Alligator mississippiensis: one gene and its partner. The protein of the gene in region 2 purifies or fractionates together with the protein of the main gene of each other region. This does not show direct contact. Links are inferred from orthologs where the notes say so. Each region holds a gene or a part of one and is shown on either strand. Other genes may lie near its edges.

Region 1 (3,746 bases), on a different chromosome or scaffold from region 2:
ACCAGCATTACGTCAGCCTAGCAAAAGGTAACCTCCCTTAGTCATTTTTACGGATAGCCACGACGTGGAGCGGCAGGGGATTCAGAGCACTGGGCTCTCCAAGACAGCCTGATTTTCACCTGTACTTCTTACTGTTTTCAAGAACGGTATGTGCTTAGCTCAGTATCTCTGAATATCTTGCCAGCTGTACTGAGTTTTTAACCCACCCACCCATAGTAAATCTATGTAATTAAATAATAGTGGTTGCAGCAGAGCATGGGTAGAAAAGAGTTTCTATCCAAAAAAACATTTCTATGTGGAGTGGTTTTATACCATGAAAGACAACAGAGGTCCCATCACTAGGACTTGAAATGCTGTTCTAATTTTTTTAATTTAAATTGGAAAGTGGTAGGAAATAAAAGAGCACCAGAGGCACCCCCATGCGGGAGAAATCCTCATAAAAAAACCAAGCAAACTGGGGCGTCCATATGAAAAATCTTCTTGTGCTGCAACTCTAATGTTGCAGTGAAGAAATTCCCAAAGCGTCCAGAAAAAACACCCGTGTGTGCAACGAATACGTTCCCTCACACAACAGGTATCGGATATACATACTCACACTTCAGAAGCCTTTCGCAGAAGAGGTAGTTGTTCATGGTATCTGCCACAATCTTAGCAACGTCATCGGACTCGAACTCTACAAATGCGTAGCCTTTACAGCTTCCAGTCTGCAGACGACAACAACAGTATCAGAAAACTAGAGGAGTGTTTAAGTGCCAGATGCCAAAACAACTCTAGCTGCTGCCTTAGGCTTCAAGGGGTCACGTTCTGTTCTCAGAGAAACAAAAACAACTCCAAGCCCTCAGCATAAATTGTACGTGTTTTAGGTCAGTCTCTAACGCCACAAGTAACAAATATGTTCACGTTACGCAGTAAAATAGAAGAGTTGAGTCATGTATCTGTGACCAACTAAAATTCATGCCACCAAGTGAAGAGCTGTTGCCTTGCTGATGACGTAAAGAATGAAAACACAAGCATCTGTAGAAACGCGGCTCATTAAATGCAAGCAAAGCAGTCAGAAAGCTCAGAGATCCCATCGCTCAACCATGCTCTAAGTCTTGCAGTGAATTCTGACCGCTCTGATAACGTCCCTCAGTGAAGTGAATCTGGTTGCGAAGAAAGGTGCCAGTTATGAGACCGGAAGAGCAGAGACGAGAATGAACTTCAGAGAAAACATAGAAAAGGCTAACACTGAACAGAACGGTCACGTCCAACCGGGGAAACTTATGACGGTAAAAGCAGAGAAGGAGAGACAAGAAGCCAACTAGCCACGACTGAAAGAAACCTGGGGGTAATAAAAGACCACAGCATGAACAGGAGCCGGCAGTGCGATGCTGGAGCCCATACGGCAAATAACACCCAGGTGTGCGTCAATATAACACCCAGGTGTGCGTCAATCGATGCATCTCCAGCAAAGCCAAGGAGGCGATTCTTCCACTCTATTCGGCCCTGGTGAGACGCAGCTGGAGGACTGCGTCCAGGTGTGGGCACTGCAATTCAACAGGGACATGGAAAAGCTTGAGAGGGTCCAGAGAAGGGCTGCCCGTATGATCAGACTTGCACGGCAAGCCATACGAGGAAAGGCTGAGGGACTTGGGCCTCTTCAGCCTCAAAAGAAGGCTGGGAGGAGGCTTGGTAGCAGCTTACCACTGCATCAGGGGAGTATATCACGGGCTCAACAAACAACTGTTCACCAGGCACCCTCGGGGGAAAACCAGGAGTAATGGCCACAAAATCCTGGACGATTGATTCAGGCTTAACAGTAGGAAAAACTTCTTCACATTTGGGATGTCCAGACTGTGGATAAGCTCCCTCCAGAGATGGTGCAATCGCCTGCCCTGGACATCTCCAAGAGGAGACTGGACGGTCACCTTGCTGGGATCTCCTGATCCATTATCTTTCCTGCCTGGTGCAGGGGGCTGGACCCGATGCTCTTGCAAAGTCCCTTCCAGCCATAAGATCTATGAACCTAGCCAGCGAGCTACGGCAGCAACAGAGAACACAATCGTAGGACAGGAGCGCCACGAGGGACCTCAGGAGGTCACATCTAGTTCAGCGTTCGCTCGCCCGTAGGTCACGACCCAAAAGCGAGTTGCAAGAATATATGATTGCGAGCCAGCTTCTAAAGGAGAGTCCATTTTTAAGGGGAAAAACCATGGGAAACCATGGGTTTTCGCCTGCAGCCGGGCAGAGTCCGAGACTGCCCCGCGCGCTGGGGGCAGCGGGTCCTGGTAGAGAACGGGTTAAGGCCTGACCGCTGCCCAAAGCACGTCCTCCCACCCGGGGGCTTTGCGCGGCGCGATGCCACCAAACGGCAGAGCAACGCAAAACCTTTTTTTCCACCTTTTTTTGGTTTTACCTTTTTGCTCCTGGCCAAGCGCAGCCTGGTGACCGTCCCGAACTGGCTGAAGTACTCGCGCAGCTGCGGCTCGTAGAGACCCTTCGGGATGTGCCCCAAATACACCACGCCCGGGGTCAGCCTCTCGTGCTGCGGGGACAAGGCCGGGCACGTCAGCAGCAGGCCCCGCCGAGGGAGGCCCCGCAGCCTCCCTCCTCCCCCTGCGGCCGCTGTCCCCGCGAGGCGCTCACCTTGGCGGCGCGGACGCGCTGCACCTTGGCCTGGAACTGGCGCTGCAGCTGCGGGTCCAGCGAGAGCAGCGCGGCCGGAGCCGCCGCCGCTTCCCCGCCGGCCGCCACCTCCGCCTCCATGCTGCTCCCGCACGTGCGCACGGTGCGCTCCGCACCACTTCCGCTTCCGGGTTCGTCGCCGGAAGTACCGCACTCCACTTCTGGCCACGCCCCCCAAGCTACAAGAGCCGCGGTAACGGTTGTCCGATGACGTCATTGCCAGGCGCGGGGGTGGGGCACCTGGTTGCCAGGCAACAGGCAGCGCGCGTAGTGTTGCTGGGTAACGAGCCTCTTCCCCCCCGCCCCTTTGAGTGTTTGGTGGGTTTTTTTAAGTCAGGCAGCGCGCGGGGCAGCCCTGCGCCGCGGAAGGACCCCGCTGGGCGGAGGGCCCCTGAGCGCGGAAGGACCCGGCGTGCCCGTGCCGCGCCTGCCTGGGAGCCGTGTCGCCGGCAGCCCCAGCTCCAGCGCCGCCGGGGGCGCGGTGTCATCAGGCGGACCCTGCTGGGGCGCTGCCGCGTCAGAGCCGCCCTGAGCCGAGCGCCGCCCGCTGCCGGGGCCAAGATGGCGGCGCCGGCAGCGGCCAGGGCAGCCCCGCGCCGCGGCCGCCGAAGGACCCCGCAGCGGCGGCGCCAGACGAGTCCGGCTCCTTGTCTTCGCGCGCGCCGCCATAGCCATGTCGGTCAGCGAGATGTTCATCGCCCTGCAGGGCTCCCTCAGCGTCGACCAGGACGTCCGCGAGGTCGGGAGGGCGGGGAGCCCGGATACGGGGGGGGGGGGGGGTATTCCTGGGTAGGGGGGTGTGGGGGGAGGGGCTCTTTGAGGGGGTTTGTGATTGGCTCTGTGAGGGGTTGTGGGGGGGAGGGGCTGGTTGTGAGGGGGGTTGGGGAGGGGCTCAGGGGGGTTGGAGGAGGGGCTGGTTGTGAGGGGGAGGGGCTCAGGGGGGTTGGAGGAGGGGCCGTGTTTGGGGTCCCTGGGCGCCGCACCGCCTCCCCTCCCCCGTGACGCGCTGGCGGCGGGCGCCCGCAGGAGATCCGGAAGGTGGTGCAGACGCTGGAGCAGACGGCGCGGGAGATCCTGACGCT
Region 2 (3,746 bases):
GAGCTCTGACCTAGTTTTAAAAAAGTGCATCAAATATAATTTGATTCCCCAGACAAAATTATGTGGAGGATTTAAAGCTTTGTACATGTGAATGTCCTAGTATGCAAAACAAATGCAGTATATTTCATCTGTAAAGTAAAATCTTCTGTATTGCAGCCATTCCCTTCCTAGTTCACTGGATGGACTGTAACTTACAGGTTCTTATCCTGTGATTACAATTATGACAATACACTGCATTTTTGAGAGAGAGAGAAAGGTGACAGTGAATGTACTTAATGTTCTAGCTGTGTGCATTTGTACCTGTTTCTGCAGCGCCCAGAATATCCATATGATCTCGAATTGCAGAAGGCAGAGCTAATGCCTGAATAGGAGTTGGAGCACTAAATCCGAGAGAACTCAAGGCCTGAAGAACTGGTTTTGGAACAAAGAGGTCTTTCCATGCAGACACATCAGCTGTTTGATCAGATGATGCAGATAAAACCTGAGTTGTCCAATTTGTAAGCTTCTTAGAAGATTTTGCTGGGGGAGGATCTTGCTGGGGTAGAGATGCTTTCTTTTTTTTCTTCTTCAAAGTTTTTTCTGTGCTTAAAGCAGCTTCAGCTTTGTTTTCATTTTCCTCAGAATCAGTCAATGTGACGGTATCTTTAGGTTCATCTTCTTGATCAGTGAGTACGTCATTTCTCTCCTCAGAATGATCATTTTTATTTGTTCTAGTTCCCAAACCTTTGCCTTTCTTTCTCTTTTTTTTTTGGATGGTAGAATCCTCTTCTTCGGAGACACTATCAGATTTTCTCTTCTTGCCTTTTTCTTTTCCAGATTTAGAGGAATTCATTAACTTATAATCTGTAAGCTCCTCAAAGCACACCAGATCTCCAAGCTGCTCATCAGCAAATAGATTTGGGTCGATTTCGACAGGTTTCCATTTTCCTACTACTTTGATACCCCTTTGTTTTGATTTAAAGGAAGCTCTAAACTTATTTCCCTTTTTTGTCTTCATCATGATCTAAAACAATTGAAAAAGAAATCATTGTAAAAATCAGCAGAACAAGGTATCTAGATTCATATAACATATAGCATAAACACTGCACTGCAGATGGTGCATAATGCCATCTATGTGTAAAGCTAATGGGACACAAGTCTTAACTAGAGTTTTCTCTGAAGTTTAGTCTATGGGCTTGGTCCTGCTCCCACTGACTAGGCCCTCTTTGTTTTGAATCTGCACATTTAAGAACAACTGCGACTCCAAACGCACGCATGCAATTTGACAAACAATCTTTAATTACTCATTTATCAGCCTCTTGCTGAAAATGACACTGGAAACCTCTGCAGTAAAGAAACCCTGATGACAAACCATCGCATAGCTCTGTTGTGCGTTTTGTTAACCATGACCCTTTAGCACTTTGTGCTGAAAGGTCTTTTGGCGGGAGCATGGGAAGGAAACCTTGGATTTACAGCTTTATACTGGGCTCTTATGTGGGCTCTGTACACTCTCCAATGGCCAGTCCAATCCCCTTACTCTGCTTCATCTCCTGCTCTGCTGTCTTCTTCCTGCCCTATCTGCCGTGGTGTTATCTGTCCCCTCTCTGATCTGTCATGGCCCACACAGAGGCTGCCTATGCCAACTGTAGCACTGGAGCTCCAGGCTGGCTAATGCTAAACACACTGGCCAGCTCAACTCCCAAAATGACATATGTAACATGGTGAAAGAATAGCCAGGAGACATGCACAAATAAAAACAGGGCAGTACACATGCCCATGAAAAGCAGTGATTTGCTGCATCAATCTGCAGCAATTAAGCATTAAACATGGAGGAAGGGACCAAGAAAGAAATTACTACTCAAAATGGTAACTGGGTACATGCTCTTTACAACTCATCTCCCACTGACTGCAATGAGATGGACGAGTCTTCAGCCAGGTTGAAAGTTACTGTTAGCACTGGTATCCAAGTTGTAGGTGCATTGGTCTAAAGGAAAAAGCAATTAGGACTTGTAATAGAGATGATATCTTTTAGGAGACCAACAAAAAAATCTGAGCTTCCACAGAAGAGACCTAAGTAACCAGGCAAGGCCGACTCTAAACCAGCAGCTTTTTAAGCTCCAGTTTCCCCTCCTTACACTCATCCCCTTGGTAACCGCCAGCTCTCAGTTTTGCAGTGTTGCCAACTCTCATGATTGTTGTTGTTCTTAAAGTCTACGCTTTGGGAATGTGAAAAACTCATCTCTTTCACACACACTATACAAATCATACACAAATATAGATAAAAGAAAGAGCTAAATTTTTCACATTCCCAAAGCGTAAACTCATAAGAGTTGACAACAGTGGTTTCGACTTGGTTTTTTCTAGTATGCAAAGCTAACAGACCCAATCTTCTGCCACAAAAAACACAAACTAACAACGTAGTGAACACTCCGCTTCCTGCGGCAGTCTCTGCGCTTGTTCTGCGAACCACGTTTGCAAACCTTAGAGCTGCTCTCAGGGGCACCTCGAGAGGCCGCCGCGGGCCAGGCTGCTCGGGGCCGCTGGTGCCAAGCGGCTGCGGCCGGGCCCTGCGCCCCCCGCCTGGCCCAGGCTCCGGTACCTCCGCCTGCGCTCGCAGCCGCCCGCCCGCCCCGCTGTCCTGCCCTCGGAGCGGGACCCCGCGCCTTCCCTGGCCCAGCCGCCGGGCCGGGCCTCCCCTCTTCCCGCGCCCTGCGCTCACCGCTGCCTCCGCCGGCGCCTACCACGTGGCCGCAGGGCTGGAGGCTGCCATCACTGTCGTGACATCACATCCGGCCTCGGGGTGAGAGGGACCGGAAGCTTGACGGGGGGGCGGTGGGGGGTTCGGGCCGTGCTCGTGCGGTCGGCGTTGTCCCTCGCGCGGTAATGACTGTCTTTGTATCATCTTTTCAACCCGTGCACGATAGTTAATATTAAAAGGTGTCGAAACTCATGGAAGAGGTGATATCGTTTATTAGATCAACTAGCTCTTTGCAAACAAACGACTGCATTTATCTGCAAGCTTTCGGGCACGCTCACCCGTTCCCATGCACAGGGCAGGAGAGAGCAGAGAGTGGCGAAGTTCTAGGTAGAAATGGAAATTCATATTTCTCAGGAGAGCTGAAGGTGTGGTGGAGTCTCCTGCTTGGAAAAGTTCACCTTGTACAGGCGATGCACAGGGAAAAGTTGAAACAGTCTTTTCACCTCAAAGCTGCCTGGTGCAAGCTGGATGTAGAGGCATGTTTGCTTCAGGTTATGTGTTTGATAGTTCACAGGAGAATGGAAAGCTCTTCTAGGCAGGAGTTTAAGTGGCGAGGTATTAGTGTTCCTGTGCTCTGGGAGACGCAAATTTGCTCGAACAATGGTAGGAGCCTCCTGTTAAAAATTCAGGTGATAAAATGCATCCTACTTGTAAAATTATGAACTTTTCATTAAAAAAAATAAATGATGAAGGGTGGGTGTGCCCAAAAGCTTTCAGATAAATACAATACTTTGTTTGCAAGTGTCTAGTTGGTCTGATAAAAATATAACTTCCCAAGCTTCAGTTCCTTTTGCCTCTAGACCAATATGACTACAACCTGCATGTCGGATAACTTTTGAGGCGATTAATTGATGCAGCATATGCAAAACCCAAGTCGCTCTCAGACTCTTAACCAACTTTCAGGTTTGGTTTTGTTTTTTGCAAAAATGCTGAGAGAGAGAGAGAGAAACAGTGCCTGTAGCAAACCAAAACACACTTTGAAAGTTGAACAGAGTTCACACCATGTACC

What was found. Proteins that work in one complex are often made in the same cells at the same time.
Region 1: the proteins of DDX24 (region 2) and NIFK purify together in Homo sapiens (affinity purification with mass spectrometry; 3 studies listed by BioGRID and IntAct, counting the BioPlex papers as one, with this or other methods). This does not show direct contact. The link is inferred for Alligator mississippiensis from reciprocal best matches to the Homo sapiens genes DDX24 and NIFK.

Annotation. Positions count from the first base shown.
Region 1 is NC_081827.1:247,264,508-247,268,253, reverse strand, and holds the start of NIFK (MKI67 FHA domain-interacting nucleolar phosphoprotein), read right to left. Parts: upstream 2,805-3,746; 5' UTR 2,746-2,804; coding exon 2,626-2,745; intron 2,525-2,625; coding exon 2,396-2,524; intron 705-2,395; coding exon 596-704; intron 1-595. Other genes in the region: TSN (translin), read left to right, coding at 3,338-3,403, 3,691-3,746.
Region 2 is NC_081825.1:277,182,417-277,186,162, forward strand, and holds the start of DDX24 (ATP-dependent RNA helicase DDX24), read right to left. Parts: upstream 2,786-3,746; 5' UTR 2,699-2,785; intron 2,554-2,698; exon of another isoform or gene 2,460-2,553; intron 1,964-2,459; 5' UTR 1,876-1,963; coding exon 1,858-1,875; intron 1,004-1,857; coding exon 301-1,003; intron 1-300. UniProt on the Homo sapiens protein: ATP-dependent RNA helicase that plays a role in various aspects of RNA metabolism including pre-mRNA splicing and is thereby involved in different biological processes such as cell cycle regulation or innate immunity.